7 linked regions of the Rattus norvegicus genome follow. The protein of the gene in region 7 interacts with the protein of the main gene of each other region in a pairwise test. Links are inferred from orthologs where the notes say so. Each region holds a gene or a part of one and is shown on either strand. Other genes may lie near its edges. The genes, in order: Cdc73, Jagn1, Nsg1, Gpatch4, Slc41a2, Stx5 and Kash5.

Region 1 (3,500 bases), on a different chromosome or scaffold from region 7:
AAAGTTTATACTGCATGTATGTTTTTGCTAGGTTAAATACACTGTTAGATAACCAACTAGATATAGATAAATGAATGCATGTAACTGAGCTCAAATATTTATCTTAATCTTAATAAAAGTCATGCCTTAATTTTAGGACCGGAAAGGAAGGCCAACCCAGAGAATACTACACATTGGATTCTATCCTATTTCTCCTTAATAATGTGCACCTTTCGCATCCTGTTTATGTCCGACGTGCAGCTGTAAGTAGGAGTCATTTTAAAACTATTGATCAAATAGTTATAGATAACTTCACTCATGGGTTTCAAATGTCTGAAATTGTCATGGAGAGTGAAAATTAAACTGCTACGTGATTTATTCAGATTTTTTAGTTGGCAGTTCATTCATGTAAAATATAGGTAACATTTATAACAGAACTTTTTTTTTTTTTCTTTCTTTTTTTCGGGGCTGGGGATCGAACCCAGGACCTTGCACTTCCTAGGCAAGTGCTCTACCACTGAGCCTAATCCCCAACCCCATAACAGAACTTTTAAAAGTGACTACATAGATGTTTCAAAAAATATAAGTAGAAGAACTCTGATAATTCAGAACTATAGTTTAATTTCAAGAAAACTTTTCTTAGTATAAACATATTATAGGAGAAGGCATAAGAATGATATAAATTTAGTACTAAAGTATGAAAATCTCAATAAACCCAACGTAAGCAGATACTTCTTTAGAATTTTAACCAGAACAGTTCTTTTGGTACTTTATTGACAAATGTATTGTTTTTTAGTTTTATCTGCTTTGTCAGTGTTTGAAAATTCATTGTTGAGAGGAAATTATTAGGAATAATTAAAAATATTTCATTTCACAAAGATTGTTATGATGAGGTTCTTCTGCTGGCAAGGGACTGTTAAGTAGGATTCTGAATTATTTGAGTTTGACGTTGCAGCTTGGCATACATGTGCAAATTATGATGGTTCTCCAGATATTTCTCTGGGTATTGGGAGGACACAAGTCTCATGTAGCCCAGGCTGGCCTCTAGCACCTGTCTAATTGAGGATGACCTGAGCTTGTGCTTCTCTTGCCTCTACCCTCTAGTACTGGGATCAGATGTGTCTGCAGTCATGTCCTGTTAATGTGGTATTGGGCACTGAGCCCAGGCTTTCATGCTTGCTAGGCAAGTACTCTTCTTCTGAGAGACGCTGCAGCCCTTTAACTTTTATTAAAAGTGGTCCTCCATCAGATTTCTTGATGGATCAGACATAGAATTACTTTGGAGATACTGATATAATCAAATATCTACTCTAAAAGCTGTTTTAACTTTACTGCATTGTCTTAATTTGAAAGTAGTTCTTTCATTTCTGAATATTCTCAAAACAAACCCATAAAATCTTCATTGTGACTTCCATCACTAGAGATATTTTTTGGCAGCTTAACACTACTGCTGGATTGCATTATGTTGTGTGAAATTTACTCTTACAACCTTTCCTTCTAAGTAGAGATAGTTGAGGCTTTTGAAAAGTAACTTGTTATTTGGACCAGTTGTGAAAGTACCTCATTTATTCTGCTTCAGTAGGACTGTTTTTCTGAGTAAGAAACATATATTCAGTGTTAAATATATGTTTAAAAATCTTAAAGTTGGTAAGTAGTAGGGAAAATTAATAATTGACCATTACATTATTTATTAGATCTTTAAAATCCTAATTAAGCAATAATTAGAATTGTTTGTTAAGTAATTTACGTACTTAGAGCTATAAACATTTCATATATCTATATATTCATGTATGTATATTTATATATACATATATATGTATGTATACATACATAGTTTTGTTTTTTGAGACGTAGTTTTTCTGTTTAGCCCTGGCTCATCGGAAATTCATTCTGTAGACCTGGCTGTCCTGGAACTTAAGAGATTCTCCTGCCTCTGTCTCCTGAGTGCTACCACTGCTCCGCAAGACTATTCTTCGAGTGGCTATAGTTCATAACTTATAGTAACAGTTATTGTGGACTCTAGGACTTACATTTATAGTCATATAAGATATAACCCTTGCTTTACTTAAAATTTCTCCAAATGAAATGGTACAGAGATCTAAAATTCTGCAGCTTTACAGATTAGAGGTTGCTTTTTAAGTTGCCATGTTCCTTGCTCTGTGCTGTGTGCTGACTCTTCCTGGAATAGGTGCTCTGATCTCTGGGGCTTTGTAGAGTCAGTAGACCTGCAGCTTCTCAGGTGGGTCATAATGTGGACATAAACAATACTTAGATGGTTCTGAAATACATGAGTAAGCTTTGAGATAGTAATTTAAAGAATATCAATTCAGGCTGGGTGGTGATAGTACATACTTTAATCTCCGTACTTGGGAGGGAGAGGCAGGGGGATCTTTCTGAGATCAAGGCCTGTCTTGTCTCTAGAGTGAGTTCCAGGACAACTGGGTCTACACAGAGAAAACCCGTCTGGAAAAACCAGAACAAAACCAAAAAGACATTAATTCAGATATGTGTAATGTTCCAGATACACTGGTTAAAAATGACAAGGAAAGAAATACTTGTAGGTTTTAAACTTGTGTACAAATATATATTTATATTTATATTCCTTATATAAATTTTAGATTTTCCATGTATAGCTGAAGAAAAATAAGCGATTTACTTGTTCAGCTAAGTCAGAAAAAAGTATGTGCAAATAATGGGTGTAGTGACTCAGTGGTCATTGTGATGCAATTGGCTAGTGATACTAAGGGTTCTCATCACTTCATTGTTGTTCATAATACTCAACAAAGGTTTTAATCTATGCAATCCCTTAGAAACCAGTTTTTCTTGCACTCTCTTGTTTACATTAGAAAAATGATAAGAAAAATTGTGGTAATGGCAAAAGTCGTTGTCCCAAAGATGACTCGATACCTGCAGTATACATTTTATTTATTTGTTTTAATCTTGAAAAGAATTGCTGGTTTTTTGTTTGTTTGTTTTTTGTTTTTAACTTTAATGTCTACATGTGTCTCTTAAGTACACACGACTGCAGGTACCAGAGAAGGCCAGAGGCATTTAACTCCTTCCCTGAACTGGAGTTAGAGGTGGTTGTGAGCTACCTGTAACTGGGAATGCTAGGACGCAAACTGTGGTCCTCTTAAAGAGCAGAAGGGCTCTGATTGCTGGGCCATCTCCCAGCCCCAATTCCAACCATATGTTTACAAGTAATGATTGTAGGTGGATTAAAGAAAAACTTCATTTTTCTAAATTGATAATGTGTTCACACAAGAACTTTAAAATCTTTTTTCTCTCTATTTGAATTTATATACAGTCTAGGATAAAAAGAAGTGTAGAGGGTTAATCACTACAGTCAACATTTTTATAGTCTATTTTTCTCATTCTTATCAATTATCAAAATATATATTTAGTGGTTTATGTAATTTATTTGGAAGGATTTCAGTTGAATAGTTTGAAGAGGTTTGGTCTGGGTGGAGAAAAGCACTGCAGATACTGTATAAAATGAGACAACATTGAAGCACAAGGCC
Region 2 (4,107 bases), on a different chromosome or scaffold from region 7:
CTTTCCTGGCTTCCTCTGGCACCAGACACGCATTTGGTGCTCAGAAACAAACACATCGGGCATGAAGAATACTCTGTGAGTTCAAGACTGGCTGGCCCACATAGTGAATTCCAGGACATAGTGAGGTCCTCTCTCAATAAAACAAACAATCTGGGTGGGTTCTTTGCAAGAACAGCAGGTGCTCTTAACACTGAGCCATCTCTCTCCAGCTATTTATTTGTTTGTTTGTTTATTTCATTTATTGACAATGTTCAATTCATTCATTCCTTCCTTCCTTCATTCATTCATTCATTGACAACGTTCAACATAGGCAAGGCTGGCCTCCAACTTCCTATGTAACCGAGGAGGAACTCCTCCTCTTCCTTCCTCCACCTTTCAAGTTGGGGAGATTATAAATGTTCACCGCCATCTTTGTTCCAGTTAGCTTAAGGCCCCAGGGTCTCAAACTGTGGATAACAGTGCAGGGAGGAAGAGATGCCTCTTTACTGCCTCAGCCTCTGAATGTTGCCTCTCAACATTGACCGCCCTGTACTTTTAGGTATATAACGTCTTTGCTCCGGATCCTAACCCGAAGGTTGTGTGCAGCTTCAGGAAGTGTTAAGTGTGCAACAAGTCACTGAGCAATTGGTCAAAGATGCCAAGTCGAGCTAGGCATGGCTTAATACTATAATCATGCCTTGGGAGATTGAAGCAAAAAGACTGTCAAGAGTTCGAAGCCAGCATGCGGCACATGAAACCCTGTCTCAAAGGAAAAAAAAAAAAAAACAAAAAAACAAAAAACTTAGGGTCTGGGCCAGCAGTTAAGAGCCTAATAGGGGTTGGGGATTTAGCTCAGTGGTAGAGCGCTTGCCTAGCAAGCGCAAGGCCCTGGGTTCTGTCCCCAGCTTCGAAAAAAAGAAAAAAAAAAGCCTAATAGATCTAGGTTCAAATCCCAGCACTCACATTATAGCTAACAAGACTATCCTACGTCCTCTTCCAGTCTCTGCGGGCACAAAAAAAAACACACGTGGTGCACCGACAAAACACCCATACACAAGTAATTTTTGAAATGCTTTATAATGAAGTTAAAGGGGGTTTGCTTGGGGGCATGGCTGATCGGCATTAGCGGCAAGGGGTTCGATTCCGCACGATGGCATCTCGGGTAGACCCGCGAGATATTTCTAGGGACTAAGTTAATTCTGCACTCGCTCTACTCTGGGAGATGCAAGAACATCCGAAAGACCAAGAACGCATGCGCGAAGAAACCACAGAGTCAGTCCTCCAGGGCTAGAGAGACCGGAAGTGCTCCCAGAGCTGCAGGCCGTGTGGTGGAAGCGGAGAGGAGGAGGCAGGAAAGCGGTTCTCTGGGAGCCTGGCTAGGTGTGAGCCAGAGGGTCGGCGTTAGGGCCTTAGGTTCTTCACGATGGCGTCTCGGGCAGGCCCACGAGCGGCCGGCACCGACGGCAGCGACTTTCAGCACCGGGAACGAGTCGCCATGCACTACCAAATGAGGTACGAGGTGAGACAGCCGTACCGAGGCCTTTCCCGGCGGAGCCTGCAGGTTCTGGGAAGCAACATCAGTGGTCCTCAAGCTGTCGCACTCCAGCCAGTTGTCGTGCACCCGTCAGGTCCCTGCTCTAGCGAACTCTGTTTTATTTCCAGGCTGGGAAAGCCCGGTTGGCCCGCCTTGGTTCGCCTTGTGTTTTGAGGGGATCCAGCTTGCACAGGCACATGGTTCCGTGTTGGACCCTCTCGGTGACCTTGGGGGACACCACTTTGCTTTTTCAAGTCGAAAAAAAGGTTCCACAGTAGAGTTCAGGCTGGCCTCGAACTCACATCCTTCCCCTTAGCCTCCTGAGTGCTGCTGGGTTTTCAGGAATGAACTTGGCCAGAAAACTACCTAACTTTTTTTTTTTTTTAAAGATTTATTTCATGTATGTGAGTACCCTGTCGCTGTCTTCAGACACACCAGAGGAGGACATCGGGTCCCCATTATAGATGGTTGTGAGCCACCATGTGATTGCTGGGAATTGAACTCAGGACCTTTGGAAGGGCAGTCAGTGATCTTAACCGCTGAGCCACCTCTCCAGTCCACTACTTAAGGTTTTTAAAGAAGATTCTTATTTTTAATTTCGTGTGTGTGTGTGTGTGTGTGTGTGTGTGTGTGTGTGTGTGTGTATGTGTGTATGTGTGTATGTGTGTATGTGTGTATGTGTATGTATGTATTTGTGCATATGAGAGCAACTGCTCGAAGAACCCAGTAGAGGGTGTTGGAACTGGAGTTACAATTACACATGGAGTTTTGAGCCCACCCGAGGTTGATGTTGAGAACCAAACACAGAAGGATGGCAAGCCATCTTTCTAACTACAGATCAGAAGTGATTTTGTAAACTAGAGTCTTGGTATGTAGTCCAGATCCCCCTCCATGGAGACCCCCTCTCTCCTGCAGGCTATTTCTTTTTTTTTTTTTTTTTTTTTTTTTTTTTTGGTTCTTTTTTTCGGAGCTGGGGACCGAACCCAGGGCCTTGCGCTTCCTTGGTAAGTGCTCTACCACTGAGCTAAATCCCCAGCCCCCAGCAGGCTATTTCTAATTGGACTCTCCATTTTAACATCTTCAGAGGGAGAAAAAAAAAATCTCATATCTTTTAGGTTTTGGTGTGTAAAGGCCCAGCATGGGAACTAACACATGGTAGCTGCTAAACTTGGGGCTGTTTGGGTGAGTGTGGATGGTAAAAGGTGGCCCTGTCCAACCTGAGTTTTAGGAATATGTCCATATAAGGGGATTTTTTACATCCTTTTATTTGTTTGATAAGTCCTTACTGGCTATCCATCATCATGTATTGTGTTAGACACTGAGGCTGTGCCAGTTTTCAAAACTAGACCTTGTTATTTGGTTTTATGTTATACTTTTCAATAAAGGTTTTGTTTTTTAAAATCTTAAGCACTAGGAGAACCAGGAATGTTAATCACACACGTTGTCTCTTCAGAGGGAGAGAGGTATAACTTGTTTCCTTGTAACCTTTGCACTGTGTGGCTAAGACCATACCAGATACCATACTGTTATCAGGAGGTTATCAATCTGTAGACCCCTTTCTTTCTTTCCTTCCTTCCCTCCCTTCATCCCTCCCTCCCTCCTTCCCCTTCCCCATCCCCTCTGTCTCCAAAGTGATAGGATTAAAGGCAAGTGTCACCACCACCTGTAGACCCCATCTTTATGGAAGATGTCACAAATACTTTACAAAGTTTCAATGTAGTCATGTCTTAGGCTTATTGTGCACATAGGATTGAGTTAATTGTCTTGAGGCCAGCTCTGACAGTGTGTTCTGTGATCCAAGGTGGGAACGTGGGTTCGGCAATGAAATACAGCAGGCACACACTCCCATGCTTGGTATCTTTACATCTATACATACACATTCATACATTCGGTAGATGAAGCAAATCTCCAGCAACTCACCACAGCCTATACATCCTAGCAAAATCTTCCAAGCGGCACAAGAATCACAACGTGGTTACATTCTATTTTACTTTAAGTGAACAATTACAATAAGTATATGTTAAGTAAAGTTTCCCAAATATCTTCACGTGATCAAATGTTTTATGTATTATGGGTGAAAAAACCAAATTCTTCCTAAGAACCCACATATAGTAACTAAGAGTACTTGCTGTTCTGTCAGAGGACCTAAATTCAGTTCCTAGCACTCACATCAGAAGGCTTACAACCTTCTGTAACTCCAGTTCCAGGGCTTCTGATGCCTTCTTCTGACCTCTGACAGCATTGGTGCAGATGTGGTGCACACATACACATAAACTTTTTAAAGAGAAAAAGCCAAACTGGATCCTGCCTTGAAGGAGCTTGAATGACAGAGTAAATTTTTTTTTTTTTTTTTTTTTTGCCTTACCTCCCACATTTCCTAAGATGAATTAATTTTTTTCCTTAAATCCATTGAATCTTTCAGCTGGTTCTTTGCCTCTGTCTGTACAGAAGAATGACAAGCTCTTTGGACCCTTCTTTCTCAACTTTAGGCCCTTCCTATTGGGGAACTCCTAACCCAAGGTCTCGTTGTCACTGCATACCTAGCTAGAGGAGACACCTTGCTCTTGAGACTGAGGATACGAGTGAGACCTAGG
Region 3 (3,500 bases), on a different chromosome or scaffold from region 7:
ACATGATGTTCCCTCCAGTGTGTGTCTCTGCCTCAGTTCCTTTTCTTGTAAGGACACTGACCAGACTTGACAAGCTAATGACCTCATCTGAACACAACCCATGTGCAAAAGCTCATTTCCAAATGGGGCCCCAACCCCAGACACTTGTGCTGGACACACTGTGTATTTCACTGTGGGGTTGGGAGCATGTTTCCTAGTACTCTGTCACTTTCCAGATACCTGTAAGGCTGACAACCATTTTCCCCTTGCTTTATGATTTTTTAATATTAAAAAACATTAATGGAGTATTAAAAACAAAAAATACAATATTAATTTCCTCTGTGTGTGTGAGACAGAGACAGAGAGAGACAGAGAGATAGAGAGACAAAGAGATGGGAGTGCTTTCAGAGTCAGTTTTCTCCTACTGGGTCTCTGGGATTGAACTAAGGGCATCAGCCTTGGTGGCAAATGCCTTTACCGATGGAGCCATCTTGCCAGCCCTGCTATTTTACTTTATTTTATTTTATTTTATTTTATTTTATTTTATTTTATTTTATTTTATTTTATTTTACGGCAGGATCTCAATTAGCTCAGTCTGGCCTTGAATTTGCTATGTATTTGGGGATGACCTTGAACTTCTGATCCTCCCGAAGTGCCCGGGTTACAGGTGTGTAGCACCTCCCGGACTCAGCCCTGTGGGCAGGGACAGCTAGTGAGAGGCAGGCAGCTGGCTCCCTGGCAGGGTGGATTCCTGCCAGGCAGTGTTTCCGGGTGAGGTGGCCTGGGTTGAGATCCTGCTACAGGCCCCACTTCTCTGTCAAGGGCCCAAGTCGTCTGGGAGTCATGTGGCCAATGCCAAGGCTTTCCCGAGTCTGTGCACAGAGCTTTCCTTGTAGCCTGAAATGCTTGAAACACATGGTGACCTGTGGATGTGTTGAAAAGTCAGAGCCATACAAAATGGCCACTCCAAGGTGATTTTCCCCAAGCTCTTTGCGCAGGCGCACATAACTTCCGTGTGAATGACTGCTTGTCCCTGCCAGTCAGCTGTCTTCCCAGTCCCAGGGCGTTCTCTGCCTCTTCCCACAGGTCTCCGTGCTGGTCCTCTTTGCCCTGGCCTTCCTCACCTGTGTCGTCTTCCTGGTTGTCTACAAAGTGTACAAGTATGACCGTGCGTGCCCTGATGGGTTTGTCTTGAAGGTAAGGTCTTGTTTCCCATTGCCCGACCCCCAGGATGTGAACCTCTTTCCTCCCTAATCCTAGGGCCGTATAGCAGCAGGCTGTGCACTTTCAATGGGAGGGTCCTCGCTGAAGACCCTGCCTGGGCAGCTAGGCAAGGAGGCAGAAAGCACAGTGGGGTCACTGGGAGGAAACTGGCTTGTCCCTGGGGAAGAGCTCGCCCCGCCCCCTGCGGCAGAAAGTGCCAGGCTGACACTTCCATCGGGTATCTGGCGGGAGTGGGGTGCAATGACCAAGAGGAAAGCCCTGCCCCAAGCCACACCAAGGGACCCCTGCCTACAGGTTGCTCTTGGGTTCTCCTGTGGGTTCCTGTGCAGAGGCCATGTTGGCACCTGCACACATGGAAATGTTCTCTCTGCTTCTATGCCTCCTTCCCATGAGCCTACTGTGGGTGCAGATGCATTTACACAGAGGACTAAGGAAGCAAAACTGGAGGGAGGGAAGATAGGGCGGAGGTAGGAGATGGAGCAGAGCAGAGAGGCTTCTATGCCTCACTCGCTCTGCTTCTGAACTTTCCAGAGCTGATGGGAAATGGCCCTGTGCGGGCTTTGGAGCTGCTCAAGTGTGAACAGAGCGGGCACTGAGTGGGTGCTGCCTGTACCGCTTGTGGGTCCTTGCTGGATGGATGTGTCTGGGCTTTGCTGAGATGCCCTGGCAGAGCCAGTTAGAAGACCTGAAAGTTCTTGTAGACAGAACCACAGACAGGACCTCCTCTACCTCTTACACACTGCAAGGTCCTAACATGGCTCCTGCCTTGCAGCCCTTCCTTCCTCCTGTAGCGATTGTAGGATTCTAGAACTCTGGTTGCTCAGGGTGCTAAGCCACACCCAGGAGCAAAGACCCCACCTTCCCGACTCCTTCTGGTTCAAGAAACATGAGACAGGCAGGAGGGCAGGCATGTATATACTGAGTGAGGACTTGAGTCTGTCCTTTCTAGAAGGTGGTCCATCCTGGGACAGCTTCTGGAACATAGGGCAAAGTAGGAGATGAAGAGAGTAGAAGGTAGATTGGGGCGTGCTTGGTGGCATTTGGGAGAGTGGCCAAAGTACATCGAGGTTGTACACTGCTCAGCACCCTGGGTTCCTAGCAAAGGCTCCCCAAAAGGGTGATGAGGATGATCCCTTAGGTCACCTGGACATTGAGAGGGGCAGACAGTATGCTGACAGAAGAGGCTGTTGCAGTCAGGCAGGGGAGAGAGGGTCTGGATGGCTGACGCAATGGGGACGGAGAGGCAGACCAGTGTGACAGTGGATAGACAGGAAGACTGAATTAGGGAGGCCAGGAGGGACTGACCAGGACCACCTGGCCTGAAGCTGGGTGACTCAGGCTGACATCATAGGGGGCATGTGGCACCTCTGTGGGAAACAGGATAGGTAGGAGACAGCTCCTTCCTGTAGCCACTGTCACAGATGATGGGCCAGCACTCCACCAACCACAATGCTGTCCTGGGTTTTCTGCCTGGCCCATTTTCTCTGGTCTGGGGCAGGCTCCTTGCCCAGTGCAGTGAGAAGCCAAAACTGGTGGTTCCACTCAGCAAACCCAAGTTCTGTGGGAGAAGGTGGTGCAGAAGAGGGATGATGAAGAAGATGGGAGGCCAGGGCCCAGGCTGACTTTGGATCAGATCCCTGGCGGTGTGGGAGGAGGCTGGGGATCTACACGGATGAAAGGCAGGTCTGCACTTCCTTGGGAATCCAGAACTCCCTAGGAACTTCTGGAAGTGCATCGCTGTGGGCTTGTACAGTTTCCAACAGTGTTTTAATGGTGGCAAGTGATGGTGGTGGTTGTCTGGATGACACAGCTAGGTGGGTGGGGGAGGCTTTCCTCCTCCTCTGTATTCAGGCACATGGTACGTTCCACATCAACCTCCAGGGGTGGAGGACTGGTCCCGAGATCTGTGAGCCACACTGCCCTGGCTGGCCACCTGGAGATCCTAAGGGAGTGCCTCTTCCCTTTTACCAATGAGAAACAGGGTTCAGAGGCACTTTGTCATGCCCAAGGGCATGTCCTTAAGTTCCTTCCACTCTTCAGCATGCATTTATTATCTAGGGGCCTCTGTAAGTGTATCAGCTGAGCCCTGGGAATCTGCTTGGGTGGAAAGGGAACCCCAGAAGCCTGAGTTCTACCAAGCAGCCAAATGGCCCAAGCTGAGAAGTATGCAGAGTCAGTTAAAAGGCAGACAGAACCAGGGTTGTGTGTGTGTGTGTGTGTGTGTGTGTGTGTGTGTGTGTGTGTGTGTGTGTGTGTGTGTGTATGTGTGTGTGTGTGTGTCCGTCCTAGCACTGAGA
Region 4 (3,143 bases), on a different chromosome or scaffold from region 7:
GAAAGCAAGTAATGTTTAGCAGGTAAAGCAAGAACAACTGACAGAGGAAAACACATCTTCTTAAAGGGGAAAAAAAGACCTGCTGGCTAGTGTGTACCCAGAAAGAAGTGAGTGAGACCTGAAACATAAAGGGCCATAGAAGACAGTCTCATTAAAAAGGATAGAGCTGGACGGTGGTGTTGCACGACTTTAATCCCAGCACTTCTGAGGCAGAAGCAGGCAGATCTGAGTTCGAGGCCAGTCTGGTCTACACAGAATCTGTGTGGAAAAACAAAAACTAACAAAAAGGATTATGATATGGTAGCTGTCTTTTGCTACTTTGTGGGTAATTTCCTCCACTCTTCTCCATCCTTTTTCCATCCTTTCAACCCCCCAACACTAGGGAAGGGGGGCAAAGGATAGGAAGAAAAGGAGGCAAAGTTATTGTTAGTCTACCTCTTACTGATTAGGGCATGGAATTCCTTGAGGTAAGTTTGATCTTCACTGACAGGATATCTAATTTCTTAACAAACCACAACTAATAACCCACAACACCCTTCCTCTTGGGCCTAGCATTTATATACACTCTGAAAAATCCCCAGAATTCCAGAAACTACTTGCTGCTGGCAAAACCACACCCCTGCTAGAGCATGAGGCAAATCATAGTCAGCTGCTGACTGCAATCTGAAGCAGCCCCCCATATCCCACATCTGAGATTAAAGTAAAAACGTAGTTCCATAATATTTGTTTTTCAAAGAGACCAAAATCCTTACTACATAATACAGTTTGTGTTTCAGAGAGACCCTTATGGATGCTTTGTAGGTTAGCTGACTGTGGTGGAGAGTGAGAACAGAGGCAGAGGCTCTTAAAGGGGCAAGGACTGCCCGAACTGAGTAGATGTCAAGATGTAGAAACTGAGAAGGATTTCTAGATGACTTGGGAAGCCCTGAGCACAGAATCTCTGCTCATTTACTGCTGGCTTCTCTTCTTTTTGCCTATACTAGTCAGCTGGGGGCTCTTTACTCTTTGGGTCACATATATGAAGAATGAACCAGGCAACCTCACAGAACCCTCCTGGCTTCAGACTCTTTAAAATTATACACCAACATGCCCCATCCCAGCAGCTCCTAACTAAACGACAGCCCTCCCTCCCACTGTGCACTGCTGCTTCCCCAGCAGATGGGATGGGCCATGGAACCGTAACACTTCAGTTCCAGGTGAGGCATGGGCACAACAAGGTTGGACACAGGATCTGCATGTACTGGGATATCCTGAGAATTAGTTGGACACACAAGACAACTGCTCAGGACCCAGGGGAGATGGGAGCAGTTGAGAGCTGGACCTCTCACTCTAGTACCTTCACAAACTTCTGATACAGCAAGCTGGGCTTTGAGTGACTGCGCTGGGTGGTCTCCTTGGAAAGGCGCCTTATCTGCACTCCATCCTGTTGGAAAATATTGGTGAGAAAGTGGCATGCTGTGCTGTCCTACCCGACCCCAGGCCTGCGGGTTTCTTCAATATACCTGACAAGCTCATACCTTGCCAGAGTCCACTACCAAGTTGGCGGCAGTCTTGTTGAAGAGATCACTCCACCAGTGGTCTGTAAATTCCTTGGCAGGGTCATGTCCCACCTCCAGATGAATAAGTAGAAGTCAATCTGAGCACTGCCCACTGGCCCTCATGGGTGCCCTTTCCCATTCATTCTGACCACTTCCCAGTCTTACCCCATGGGTATCTTGCTTCAGTGTCACCTTGAGGGCCTGGGTGATGCCATTCTCTTTCCGGCCCAGGCCTTTGCCTGCAGAGGAGAGTGATTTATTTTGAGGCCTGCCGTGAGCCTTCCCAGGCTAACTACCACTCCTTATACTGATCATGGGGTATACTCTATGCCTTCAGAAACCCACCTCACTCCATTCCTTCAAGCCCTGCTCAGTGCCTCTGTCTGAGCCAGAACTATCTTTTCTGTCTCTTTGCAGTCTCCTCTAGTCTGCCCAACCATTTGCTCCTCATTGTCCCTTGTTATCCAAAATGAGGATTTCTCCCATCTTCCCTAATCTAATGGGTCAGAAAACTTATGCTTCTAAAGACTTCTCTTTACTAGTCTCTCCTCTGGCTGAAGGGACCCGGGGCAGAGGAGAGGAGTTGGGTGGATGTGGAAGAGACCCTAGAGCACCTTGAGTCCACCCATGCTTCAGCAGCTGCTCTTCAGCAAACTTCATCCCACGACTCTTCACCTCTGGGGTGACACTCATGGCAGGGAGAGGCTCTGTCCTCAGGTTCTCAGCAGGGAAAAAGTGGCACCATACTCTGAAGAGGGAAAGAAAGGACTGGAGGTGCAGCTTAGACAGCAGGGCGCTAGTCTAGCACACAAAGCCCCAGGCTTCAACCCCTGCATCATGTAAAACAAGGCATGCTGGCCCACACATGTTAATCCCTGCAGTTGGGATATGGAGGCAAGAGGATCAGAAGTTCGTATCGTCTATAACTATGTAGAAAGGTTGAAGCCAGCCCCTGCTTTATGAGACCATAAATGAGTGAAAAGGAAAGGGAAGTAGTGTGGGCTGGGGCTGTATCTTAGTATACCTTAGATACTCTACTTAGGTAGAGTGCTTGCCTAGCGTGTGTGGGTCCTGGGTTCAATCCCCGGCACTGTGTAAGCAGGTGTGGTAGTGCATCCCTGTAATTCCAGCTCTGGGGAAGTGGCAGCAGAAGGCTCAGTTAAAGGTTGACTAGGAGCTTGGGATACGTGAGACCTGTCTATGCTTAAAGCACTTAAAGCTGCTTGTGTAAGAGTCTTCTTTCAGAAGAATAAGTGTATATGTATGCCCAAATGTGTGTGTATGCACTGCACACACGCGGGAACTGGAGTTACAGTTGTGAGATGCTACACAGGTGCTAGTAACTGAATCCAGGGCCTCTGCAAAGGCAGTAAGTGCTACTAACCACTGAACCATCTCTTCAGCTACTGAATTCTTTTTCTTGAGTCCTGGGAGATACCAGGAGGAAGGCTGTTCTTTGGGGCGTCCTCTCTCTGGTCAAAGGAGCCAACACCCAACACAACACAGGACAAAGGAAGGGTAATGTGGATACTGATACCTATATGTGTGACTTCAGTATATAACGTGAAAACTCGATCTTGCACTCACCCTACTCTGGTGACAAAG
Region 5 (4,075 bases), on a different chromosome or scaffold from region 7:
GCGTTGGAAAGTTCCTTCCCTTGTAAGATAGGGACGGGGAAACAATGGAAGACTCAGTACCAGGTTGCCTGTGTAAAGATTAAGGCAGAGGCAGCTTCAACATCATGCAATTCAAACAGGTTTCTGGGAAGGTGAAGCAGTTGGTTAGTGGTAAGTGACTCCATTTTGAATCCTAAACCAAAATAGTGACTCCCTGTAATTTTTAGTCAGCACCCGTGTTCTTCATAGTAAAGCTCTCATTCCTAAAGGTAAAGATGTTAAATTACCATATATGTGTGTGTAGGGATTGGGTGTGTGCTCTTGAATGCCAATCAATGCCTGTGGAAGCCAGAAGAAGACATTGGGTCCAGCTGAGCTGGCGTTTCGTGCGTGAGTGCGTGCGTGTGCGTGTGTTCAGGTGGGTGCTGGGAGCTAAATTTGTGTCCTATTGCAAGAGCAGTAGTAATCATCTCTCCAGTCTTATACACGCCACCCCAAATGTGTTCTAGGGCTGGGCGAAACAGTGCATACCTGTAATTCCAGAACAGGAGGGGTAAGAGTTTGAGGGCAGATTGGAGATTGCTGCACGCCTTCAATCCCAGCATTGAGAGGCTGAGGCAGGCAGACCTCTGTGAATTCAAGGGCAGTTTGGTCCTCATATCAAGTTCCAGGCCAGCCAGAGCTGCACACAGTGTGACAGTCTCAAAAAACAGAATGGAGTTTAAAAGCCAATCTGGGCTGCACAGAGAGACCGTCTTCTAGAAAAAGAAAAACCCACAAGAAAATGTTTTTGGTTTTGGTTTTGGTTTGTTTTGAGACAAGGTCTCACTATGTAAATCTGGCTTTCCTGGAACTTGCTAAGTGGGTGCCACCATGGAAGTCTCTCTCTCTCTCTCTCTCTCTCTCTCTCTCTCTCTCTCTCTGTGTGTGTGTGTGTGTGTGTGTGTGTGTGTGTGTGTGTGTGTGTCCTCCCTTTGCCCATCTGAAAAGGTGCTAAATCACCGCTGTGAAAACTTTGGTCTGACCCCTAAAATAGCTTCAGGATCAAAATGATCAGCTTTCCCCAGGAGTCAGTGCCTTGCACCTCACACCTTTGCATAGTGGGAGAGTGGAGTCCCACTAGCTGAACCGCACTTAATAGGTACTTAACAAATTGTTATTGAAGCTATTTGCCCGGTTTTCCTGGGCAAATTCTGGCTCAAGTCTACCTTGGCTCCCAAACTCGAGTGTGGGCAAACTGCAAAGCTCAGCTAGGCAGCGTCGTGCACTTGGCTCTGACCCTGCCAGTCGCTAGGAGGGCGTGACGCGCTGCCCGCACGTCTCCTCCCCGTCCTTTGGCCTCCCAGAAGCGCTCAACGAACGACTCCCACGTCCTCGGTTTCATTCCGGTCCGCAAGGAACGCGAGTTGGACCCCCGCCGAGGCCCGGGGCTGACGGAGCGGTGAGCGGAGGATGCGCGGGCTGGGATGCGGCTGGGAGGATGCGCGGGGCAGCCTGAGCTAACCAGCCAGCCAGAGTCAGAGCTGGCAGGAGGGCGAGCGGGCGAGCGGGCGGCTGCCGGGGCGCGGCCACGGATCCGGGTAGCCTCCGGGCGGCCACATCAGCGGCGCCCGGCGGGTCCGGGCCGGCTGCGCGCGTGCGCGGGGCGGGGCGGGGCGCGCGAGTGGCCGCGGGCGTGGGGCGACTGTCAGAGGCGGCGAGGAGGCGCGGCGGGCCCGCGGGGCTGGGCCGGGCTCACGGACCCCGGGGGCGTCGCCGCTCTTGGGCTCGGCGTAGGCGGCTACGGAGGGAGCGGAGGCTGCGGCTCGGCTGGGTGTGGGAGGGCGGCGTTGCGGCCGGACGCTGGAACCTGGGCCGGCGGGACCCGAGGCCGCCCGACTCTATCCAGCCCTGCCTGCCGCTAGCCTCGGGCTCCGCGCCGGGTTCTGGCGGTGGTGACCCAGGGCGCGCGCCGAGGGATGGAGGAAGGTGAGCTCGGATGCAGATGCTGCGAGCCGGGTTGCGCTCACCCCTGCTTTGGGGCTCAGCAGCGTCGCCACCCTTTATGGCTTTATGGATGGATGCACAGTATGCCTCAAATTTAAGAAGCCTCGGTGCCCATTTATGGAGAAAGCTGGCATGTTTGTGCGTTACTTATATATTACATTCTCAGGTATAGTGCCCGGCTGTCATCTTTTTGTAAATGGACGTTTGTTGACCGAAGCGTCATGTAGCATACGTGCTACTTTTCCTTCTAAAAGGTGGCTTTTCATGTATCCATCTAGTTTTGTAACTGTCACCACTGTTCAGGTAATTTTTTTTTTATTTCCAAAGGAACCCTATACCTTTTAGTTGCTTGTTACCCATTCCCCCCCCCCCCCCCACTGCCCCAACCCACTGGAAACCACTAATTTTTCTGTTCCTATGCATTTGCTCTTTGGAGACACTAATGAAACCATACAGTATTTGTGGTTCCCCACCTCCGTTTAAAGACAAGACTTTGGCTCTCCCCTTATAGTTCAGGCTAATCTGAATTTTCGGTCCTCTTGCCTCAACTTCCCAAGTAGTGATCTCACACAGACTTGTGCCACACCCCACCAATGTGTCTGTGGCTTTTTGTCTGGCTTCCTTCACGTAGCTTAATGTTTTTAAAGCTCATTCATGTTGTAATTATTGTGCATCTGTTCTGTACTTTCTTAGAGCTGAATGACTGATATGTGGTGTGTCACAACCACACCCGTTCACCCATTAATGAAATTGCATAGCTTTTTACTTTTCAGCCATTGGATATGATGCTGCTAGACTGTCTGTAGATGTGCGTTTTAAAGTCCCCGAACATAGGTGTGGAGTTGCTTGGTGCTTAACATTTTGGGGAAACTTTTAGACTTTAATCAAAGTCGTTGCTACATTTAATACTCCACCAAAGTTTATGCGGTCTGCATCTTCCTTAAACTGCTAACACGTTATTTTCTACTAGTTTTTTTTTTTTAAAGCTATCCTAGTGGGTGTGACTTGATATCTTTTCCTGGTTTTATTTTGCATTTCAGACCAGAGATTAAAAAGCCTTTCTATGCTTATTGGCCATGCGTGTATCTGTTTTGGGAAAATATCTGTTTAGATCCTCGGACCCTATTTTTTGCTGTTTTATTTGACTTTTTGTTATTGTTATTGAGTTGTCTTATTCGTTTTAGGAAAAGTTCTAGATTTCTTACTGGTACTGGCAAATTTGCATAAAAATATAATTAAGTGGTATTTGAATCTTTAATAATGCTTTACCCTTTTACCTGGTCATTTTTGGCATTTTGTTGTGATTATTTTTACTATTTATTTGGCTTTCTTGAGAAAAGCCACAGGAGGTGTGGTCCTGGGGTTCCTGCTGGGACTTTAGTTGGTGTTTTTGTAGAGTTTATGTTTGAAAAGTTTCACTTATTGTTAGCTACAAATAACCTGTGTTGGGTTACATAGAACAGAATCCCATGTGTTTCCCAGTAAGAAGGTTTTTTCCTCTTTTAGTCCGGGTAGTTTCTATTGCAATTATCATATATGTGGATGGTAGATAATGTGTTTGCCTTTTTGAGGTAGAGTCAGTCTCTCCCTCTCTCCCCCCTCCCCTCCCTCCCCTTACTCTTCCCCCTCCCCCTCCCCTCCCCCTCCCCTCCCTCCCCTTACTCTCCCCCCTCCCCCTCCCCTCCCTCCCCTTACTCTTCCCCCTCCCCCTCCCCCTTCCCTTTCCCCTCCCCTCCCCCTCCCCCTCCCCCCATGAGTGTGTGTGTGTGTGTGTGTGTGTGTGTGTGTGTGTGTGTGTAGCCCCGGCTGGCCAGGAACTCACTATTTAGATCAGGCTGGCCTTGAGCTTGCAGCAATCCTCCTGCCTCTGCCTCCCAAGTACTGGCACCCCAAGTGAAAAACATTTTACTGGAGCTGAGATTAAGGGTCACCTGGGACTGAATGTCAAGGTGCTTTCTTTTTTTTTTTTTTTTTTTTTTGGTTCTTTTTTTCAGAGCTGGGGACCGAACCCAGGGCCTTGCGCTTCCTAGGTAAGTGCTCTACCACTGAGCTAAATCCCCAGCCCCTGTCAAGATGCTTTCTACATGGGTGATTTCTGTGTATGTACAAA
Region 6 (3,327 bases), about 110 Mb from region 7:
ATTCAGGCTTCTGAATTTACGACACTGAGATGAACTCAGTCCTCATGTTTGTCTTCACAGGACCTTAATCTTGCAGCCCTTTGTCCAGCCCTTCCTCTCTATTTCTAGGCCCCACATAGGCCATACTCAGCCCCTATAGGGCTCTGTGTCACAGATCCATTTTTAAAAGTCAAGATGTATGGCATCATGCTTCACTTACTGATAGGGCTGGGTCTGAAATTTGTCCTTAGATGACTTTACCATTCACAGAGTAGAGTTATGTGAGCTCAAATGACTTTTATGTCAGTAGGCAATACAATCCTAGTGGACTGTCCTGCTTTATGTGTAGACTACCTTGTCTGAAACATCTTGTTACATAGGATGGTATTTGGGTTTTAAATTACTTTCAAGGCATGTGTGTTATGTTGTATGAGCATGTGTAGACCAGAGGAGGCATCAGATGTCCTCTTATAATTTTTTTTCTTTTTTTCTTTTTTCTTTTTTCTTTTTTTCGGAGCTGGGGACCGAACCCAGGGCCTTGCGCTTGCTAGGCAAGTGCTCTACCACTGAGCTAAATCCCCAACCCCCCCCCCCTTTTTTTTTAAATTATTTTTATCTAATTTTAAAAAAAATTTTGAGACAGGGTTTCTATGTGTAGCCCTGGAACTCACTCTGGAGACTGGACTGGCCTCAAAACTCAAATTAGCCTGCTTCTGCCTCCCAAGGGCTGGAATTAAAGATGTATGCCACCATGTCTGACTATTTTATTCTCCTTGAAATAGGGCCTCCCTTAGCCTAAAACTTGGCTTTTGTTGGTTTGGTTGGTTGGTTAGTTAGTTTGTTTGTTTTTTCAACCAGCAAAACCCAGCTCTTTTCTTTCTACACTTACTTGCTGTGCTCTGGTTATGGGCACAGTTAAGACTGTGGCCAGCGGGGTTGGGGATTTGGCTCAGTGGTAGAGCGCTTGCCTAGGAAGTGCAAGGTCCTGGGTTCGATCCCCAGCCCCGAAAAAAAAGAAAAAAGAAAAAAAAAAAAAAAAAAGACTGTGGCCAGCTTGCTCTGTGGGTGCTAGAATCCAAATTCAGGTCCTCTTGGTTGCCAAGTAAGCACTTTAATACTGAGTTATCTACCCAGCCACAATATTTGGGTTTTAGGACTATATATGTAGGGCTAGAGAGATGGCTCAGCCATTAAATGCTAGGCTCACAACCAAAAATAGAAGGGTTGTATATGTAGATTGGCTGGAAGTTTTGTTTGCCTCAGTGAGTTTTCAAAATTGTCCTTCCTCTGAGGAGTTGTTCCCCCAAGATAATGTTCCCTGGATGTAAGAGTTGTATTATTCTTTGAGTTCCTGTCTATATTAAGATGTTCCCATCACCCAACAAGGATTTTCTGACTATAATGGTTTGAACTTCTCTCCCCATTAATCACAATGCAATACATATTCATTATTGGAAAAAAAAAGCAGGAAATGTTTATGAGTAAAACTTACAGCATTTGGGGTACTCATATAGATTGGAGGCTCATTTAACTCACTGAAAATTAAAACCTCATGAGGAGCTGGAGAGATGGCTCAGTGATTAAGAGCACTGACTGCTCTTCCAGAGGTCCTGAGTTCAATTCCCAGCAACCACATGGTGGCTCTCAACCATCTGTAATGGGATCTCCTACCCTCTTCTGGTGTGGCTGAAGACAGTGACAGTGTACTCACATACATAAAATAAATAAGTCTTTAAATAAAAAAAAAAAACAGATAAATAAGAAATCTCATGAAAGGAGTAGGGTTTATATCATTTATCTCATTTTTTAGATGTGGAAAATAAGACTGGTTAAATAATTCAATCATAAGCTAATAACTGGCAGGACACTTTAAAGCTAGAATCAAACATGATCTACTACCCTCAAAAAACTTGATATGTGTGTGTGTGTGTGTGTGTGTATGTATGTATGTATGTATGTATGTATGTGTATACACACACACACACACACACAGTTAACGTAGTATCAAATACTTTTTACTTCTACATATTGTGATCAGCTTCCCATATCAATAAATGGATGTCTTTAACCTTCTTCAACCCAGTGTTCCTCTCTGTTTTATCTCCTGTTTCCAGGATTGACGAGAATGTGCTTGGAGCCCAGCTGGATGTTGAGGCCGCCCATTCAGAGATCCTCAAGTACTTCCAGTCAGTCACCTCCAATCGGTGGCTCATGGTCAAAATCTTCCTCATCCTCATTGTCTTCTTCATCATCTTTGTGGTCTTCCTTGCCTGAACCCTCCTCCCTCATTCTGAGCCACTCCATGGAGGGCCTGGAACCCTTCTGGAAGGACAGGTGGCCACTATTGCCACTGAGCCTGTGCAGGGTAGTTGGGAGAAAGGCCATTTCCTTGGAACTGCTAAGAATGGCCAGTGTCCCTGATTCCCCACCCTTGTCTCTGGCCACTCTGTCCTACCCTCAGGCCCATGAAACACACTGGTTCTGGATTTGGCCTCTGCTGTGAAGTGGCAGGGAACAGAAGCCAGCTAGGGCCAGTGGGGAGGTTGTCTCTACCATGAGATTTTTATAAACCCAGACCAGCCTCCCCTAAAGGTAACTGGCAGCAAGAGGAAACAATGCCCTTCCTTGCCTTCTGGAGAGTGAGGTGAGGAAGTAAAACTATCCCAGGGACCAACTTAATCATCTGGGTCATCTAGAACTTGACTGCCACCTTCTCCTCACCATGTGAGGTGGGGGGGGCTCTGAGCCCTACAGTTGCACAAACCTGACTTTGGCTACTGGTGACTCTCAATCTGCCAAACATGCTGCAGCCTGTTTCCTCCCAATTACAGCAAGACTGTCAGCCTCACTAGTGATGTTGTCGTTTCTGGGTGGGATCGTCGTGGGCTTCCGCAGCCAGCAAACCACTGCTTAATACCAGAACCAAAAGGGTTAAGTTGGTGGCTTTGACAGCCCCCATTGATAGGCAGAGCAGCTTTGGAGCTCTGTACCCACAACTCCCTCTTAAAAGGGAGTGGCCAAGTAACAACAGCACTAAATTAGAATTTTCCTTTGAACTGGAGCTAAGTGGACTCATTATTGGGTGTCAACTTCTAGGGCTGTCCCAAACAGTTTGAGCCTGTTTAACCTGTATCTTCAAATCACCTGGTCCTGATTTTTGAACTGAGTGAAGCAAGAGCTCTGCTGCTGGGTGAAGAGCATTTGTGCCCAGCTCCAATTTGTACCCAGCTCTTTGGCACCTTCTAAGATCCTGAGCAAAACCACTGCAAAATGGAGGTGACCCACCTAACACAGACCCTCAAGGGAGATTAATGAGTTGTTTTGTCTTTCTGATCTGTGTTAAAGTCA
Region 7 (4,289 bases):
GAATGCACCACAACTGTCCTGAAAGCGTTTGGCAGTTCTTTCATCTAGACCAGGTGTCCTAGTTTGCTTTCTACTGCCATGGTGAGCACTACAATCAAAACAACTTGGGGAGTATCGGGTTTATTTCATCTTGCGATAGATCACAGTCCATCACCAAGAAAAGCCAAGGTAGGTGTTGGAAGCAGGAACTGAAGCCCAGTTTCCTTTTTCCCATACAACCCAGAAGCACCTTCCCAAGGGTGGTCTTGCCCACAGTGGGCTGGGCCCTCCTCCCACATCACTCATCAACCAAGAAAATATCCCCCACAGATTTGCCTACAGGGCAATATGACAGCATTTTTTCAGTTAAGGTTTTCAGGTGACTCTGGCTTTGGTCAAACTAAGCAGCACACGGATGGGGTCTCATGGTCAGTAAGGTGAGAAAGACCTTGCCCTTTTTGCCTCTACCTCCTGAGTATTGGTACACCACCATGCCCAATTCATGAGGTCATAGGGGTTGAATGAGGGCACCTTGGTGAAACCCTGTACCCTGAGCTACATGTCCAGGTCCTTATTACATGTATGTGTTTTTAAACAGCAAGGGGAAGAAAGCGAACAAATGATAGGGTATGCATGTGGAATTCAGGAGCCCTCCTTCCATCCTATGGGTCCTGGGGATTCCGGGATGGGTAACAAATGTCTTTACTCACTTTGTAATGCTGGCCGGTCTAGGACTGTATAGACCAGGCTAGCTAGTCTCATGTTCCTCCATCTTCCTGGCCCTGCCTCCTGAGTGCTCACCGAACACCACTAAACAAACAAACAAACAAACAAAAATGCTAAGCAGCTGGCCATGCTTTTAGTACCCATTCTGCAGACAGCATACGGGGATGAAGCCTGGGACCAGCACTCAGACTTTAGTTGTTGGATCTTTACGAGGGAAAGCAGACCCACAGACAAAGAGGAAAGTGCAACAAAAGGATCGGTTTTCTGGAGTGACAAGTGGATGAGAGATTGGAGTCTTCTGTTCCAAATATCCTTGGGAGACAGAGCTCCCTCTCTACTGACGTTAAAAAGCAAAAAAGAAAAAAAAAAACAAAAACAAAAAAACAAAAAAAACAAAAAACAAACAAACAAACAAACAAAAAAAACAAAAAAACCTGTCCCTCCTTCCTCGTAAATGAAAACGTTTGAATAGCCCAGCGTGATGGGCTAAGGCAGGGTGATTGCTTCAAGTCCGAGGCCAGCCTGGGCTACATAACTAGGCAATAAATAGGAAAGTAAAATAAATTGTTTGGGAAACAGTTTGGGTATGTATTAATGCCACAGAGCGGGGGCGGGGAACAATGGAGCGGAAGTGAGGGTGCGCCCCATTGTGACGGTGGCAGGCGAGCCAGACCCAAAAGAAGATTGAAAGGACTCGGTTCAAAGACTGACAAGGGGTGAACAGGGTGTCCTTCGGTTGAACTCTCCCCTGCTCGGCCCTATTTTGCGAAGCAGAAGGGAAGGATTTAGTACCACAGAAGAAAACTGTCGATAATATCGCACCATCACCGCTATTCCACCACCACTAGTGCGCATGCGCTCATTTCTCTGATCTAAGCGGTCGTCCCGGGAAGTTCTACGCATGCGCGAGCTCGGGGTTCAAGGTAAGGGGAACCGCAGGCTCCCATCAACCCGGAGTGCGCTTGCGTGAATTCAAGAGCCTGAGAGGGCGGGACTTGGAGGAGGCTGGCTCATTTGCATTTCTGGCGGGAAAGGCGCGTGTGAACACGCTTCTTCTGTGCCAGTCGCAACCGCCGTTCGTCGAGGGTGGCCCTCAACTGAGTCCCGAGAGTCCCGACTCCAGGTACGCCCTGCCTGTGGCGACTTTGATGGCAGGTTACCCGGTAACATCTCCTGCCAGCTCCTTTAAAAAGGACCCAAGTTCTGACGAAATCTCCGATGTTCATGAAGTAACCCTCTGGGAAGTTTTGTTTTGAGGCAGGGTTTCTCTGTGTAGCCCTGGCCTTAAACTCAGAGATCCGCCTGCCCCTACCTCCCGAGTACAGGAATTAAAGGTTCCCTCTGGAAAATCCTAGTGGCAACTTCGGAAATCCTGTCAGAATCTTGAAACTTCCTGTTGCTTTCTGTTGCTTGTTTTCAACGACCTTAGGATCCTCATGCCTCAGTTTTAGGATCACAGCTCTCCCAGATATTCCCAACTACAATCTTCCAGAGCTTTTGAAACCTAATACTTAAGCTGTTTTGTTTTTGTGAGCAGAGCAGGTGTTTTGTTTTGAGATAGGGTTTCTTTTGTGTAGCTTGATTGTCCTAGAACTAGCTCTGTAGACCAGGCTAGCCTGCCTGCTTCTTCCTCCCAAGTGCTGGGATTAAAAATGTCCACCACCACCGCCTGGCTTTTGTATTGGGGTTTTTATTTTTTTTTATGAGTATTTTGCCAGCATGCGTGTATGTGTGCCAGGTGTATGCCTGTGCAGACCAGAAGAGGGTACAGTATCCCTTTGATCTAAAATTACAAATGATTAGGAGCTGCCATGTGTGTAGTGAGGATCTAACCCATATCTATCTGGAAGAGTAAACTGTTAGTCCTCTTAACCACTAAGCCACCTCTCTAGGGACTCTTCTAGAGCTTCATTAAATTGCCCAGACTCTACTCAGAAACTTGGATCCTGCAGCCTTAGCCTACCACGCCAGCAGCTAGGATCTTAGCTCATCAGAGTCTCCCTTAAAGACCTGCACAAGAACTATCTGATATTCTAGAAATTTGTCCTGAGTTCCCGTACAAGTTCCACTGGGGACCCTGAAATCCAGTGACACCCCAGAAATGCAGCCCTTGAATTCTAGTCCAGGGATCACTCTCGACTTCGTCCAGGTCTAAAATCCCTCAAGACACTCACCAGCAACCTGATCTCCCTTGTTCCTTAAGAATTTTCCCCTTGTTCCTTTCCTCCCGCCTTCTTCCTGAGTCTCTGAAAACCTCTCCCTTCCCTTTGGCCTCTGGGATCGGCAGCAGGAGGATCACCACTAGCTGAAGACTGGCCTAGTTTACACAGCCCACAAAGCTACAGCTACATAATATATATTTATTAAGTCCCTGTCTCCAAAAGTCAAATAATGTCTCCAGAACACATGCAGCTGCTGGAATCCAGGCAAAGCAGAGTGTTGGTTGCATTCCCTGAGGAAAGGGTGATAACCTTTTTCTCTCCCCTCAGTGACACAGATACAGACTGGATTAGACCAGATTAAAAATAGATAAGGGCAGGTTCATTAGGAGGCATCCACCTCCACCGTCTCACACGTGGAGGTCAGTGAAGTCCCACATCCCAGCTAAGCTTAGCAAGGGAGTTTTATAAAGCTTAGGTGAGGAGTGATAGCCTGCCAGCTAGGAGCTGGGATTCTGTCCTTACATGGTCAAAGGCTGAGCCCCTGGGCGGGCACTTATGGGTGGGTGGCTAGAAAATGGAGAGGAGAGGTGAGAACATGTTAGCCCGGAGTTTCCTCCTTGTGGGCAGAAGAGCAAAGGAGGTTTCTTGGCTTGAGCAGGGGAGGAGCAGGGGGTTCCAGCCGAATCAAAGGGGTGGCAAACAGGAGGAAACCCAAACCCTCTCTACCCTTGGCCCCCGGTGCCCTCTGAGTGTTAGGGGCTCTGTTGCCAAACATCTAAAGGAATTACTGATAGTGCCTCCTTTTCTCTTGAAGGTGACTTATTTTGACTGGCCAGGCTGTAATAGAGGCAGGACAGCACTGTCAGGGTGCAGAGGAGGGAGTCCTTGTGATCATAGAGGCCTGTGAAAGTCAAGTCCTAGATCTAGGAGGGGCTGGAGGGATGGCTCAGTGGTTAAGAGCACTGACTGTTCTTCCAGGGGTCCTGAGTTCAAATCCCAGCAACCACATGGTGGCTCACAACCATCTGTAATGGGATCTGGTGCCCTGTTTTGGTGTGTCTGAAGACAGCAACAGTGTACTCTCCTATAATCTTTAAAAAGGCGGGGAGCAGCAAGCCTGTGAATGATGCTGAATTCTTATGGCCACGGAGGGTAAGGGACATGGAGATGGCTGGTGGAGGGGAAAACAACAAAAAGAGGCAGTGAACCTAGAGAGAAGGATCAGTGGTTAAGAGAACTTGCTGTTTGTCTGCTTGATGCCTTTAATCCCAGCACTCTGAAGCTGATGGATCTCTGAGTTCAAGGCCTGGCTGGTATTCATGGCCCAGGCCAGTCAGAGATATACAGAGAGACCCTGTTTGGAAAAGAAAAGAAAAAGAAGCTACTGAAACGGTTACTACTCTTGCAAATGGCCCAGTTTCG

What was found.
Region 1: the proteins of Kash5 (region 7) and Cdc73 interact in binary tests that used the Homo sapiens proteins (3 or more experiments, as listed by UniProt). The two-hybrid records come from large-scale screens. The link is inferred for Rattus norvegicus from reciprocal best matches to the Homo sapiens genes KASH5 and CDC73.
Region 2: the proteins of Kash5 (region 7) and Jagn1 interact in binary tests that used the Homo sapiens proteins (3 or more experiments, as listed by UniProt). The two-hybrid records come from large-scale screens. The link is inferred for Rattus norvegicus from reciprocal best matches to the Homo sapiens genes KASH5 and JAGN1.
Region 3: the proteins of Kash5 (region 7) and Nsg1 interact in binary tests that used the Homo sapiens proteins (3 or more experiments, as listed by UniProt). The two-hybrid records come from large-scale screens. The link is inferred for Rattus norvegicus from reciprocal best matches to the Homo sapiens genes KASH5 and NSG1.
Region 4: the proteins of Kash5 (region 7) and Gpatch4 interact in binary tests that used the Homo sapiens proteins (3 or more experiments, as listed by UniProt). The two-hybrid records come from large-scale screens. The link is inferred for Rattus norvegicus from reciprocal best matches to the Homo sapiens genes KASH5 and GPATCH4.
Region 5: the proteins of Kash5 (region 7) and Slc41a2 interact in binary tests that used the Homo sapiens proteins (3 or more experiments, as listed by UniProt). The two-hybrid records come from large-scale screens. The link is inferred for Rattus norvegicus from reciprocal best matches to the Homo sapiens genes KASH5 and SLC41A2.
Region 6: the proteins of Kash5 (region 7) and Stx5 interact in binary tests that used the Homo sapiens proteins (3 or more experiments, as listed by UniProt). The two-hybrid records come from large-scale screens. The link is inferred for Rattus norvegicus from reciprocal best matches to the Homo sapiens genes KASH5 and STX5.

What each region holds. Positions count from the first base shown.
Region 1 is NC_086031.1:57,993,532-57,997,031, reverse strand, and holds part of Cdc73 (parafibromin), read left to right. Parts: intron 1-136; coding exon 137-242; intron 243-3,500.
Region 2 is NC_086022.1:148,145,932-148,150,038, forward strand, and holds the start of Jagn1 (protein jagunal homolog 1), read left to right. Parts: upstream 1-1,307; 5' UTR 1,308-1,402; coding exon 1,403-1,491; coding exon of another isoform or gene 1,492-1,498; intron 1,499-1,902; exon of another isoform or gene 1,903-2,082; intron 2,083-4,107. UniProt on the Homo sapiens protein: Endoplasmic reticulum transmembrane protein involved in vesicle-mediated transport, which is required for neutrophil function.
Region 3 is NC_086032.1:76,874,579-76,878,078, forward strand, and holds part of Nsg1 (neuronal vesicle trafficking-associated protein 1), read left to right. Parts: exon of another isoform or gene 1-1,065; coding exon 1,066-1,176; intron 1,177-3,500.
Region 4 is NC_086020.1:175,810,762-175,813,904, reverse strand, and holds part of Gpatch4 (G patch domain-containing protein 4), read right to left. Parts: intron 2,287-3,143; 5' UTR 2,232-2,286; coding exon 2,153-2,231; intron 1,778-2,152; coding exon 1,704-1,777; intron 1,611-1,703; coding exon 1,518-1,610; intron 1,424-1,517; coding exon 1,337-1,423; intron 1-1,336.
Region 5 is NC_086025.1:22,270,038-22,274,112, forward strand, and holds the start of Slc41a2 (solute carrier family 41 member 2), read left to right. Parts: upstream 1-1,275; 5' UTR 1,276-1,420; intron 1,421-1,679; exon of another isoform or gene 1,680-1,947; intron 1,948-4,075. UniProt on the Homo sapiens protein: Acts as a plasma-membrane magnesium transporter. Can also mediate the transport of other divalent metal cations in an order of Ba(2+) > Ni(2+) > Co(2+) > Fe(2+) > Mn(2+).
Region 6 is NC_086019.1:215,079,859-215,083,185, forward strand, and holds the end of Stx5 (syntaxin-5), read left to right. Parts: intron 1-2,093; coding exon 2,094-2,253; 3' UTR 2,254-2,827; downstream 2,828-3,327. UniProt on the Homo sapiens protein: Mediates endoplasmic reticulum to Golgi transport.
Region 7 is NC_086019.1:104,824,921-104,829,209, reverse strand, and holds the start of Kash5 (protein KASH5), read left to right. Parts: upstream 1-1,489; 5' UTR 1,490-1,606; coding exon 1,607-1,628; intron 1,629-1,689; exon of another isoform or gene 1,690-1,828; intron 1,829-4,289. UniProt on the Homo sapiens protein: As a component of the LINC (LInker of Nucleoskeleton and Cytoskeleton) complex, involved in the connection between the nuclear lamina and the cytoskeleton.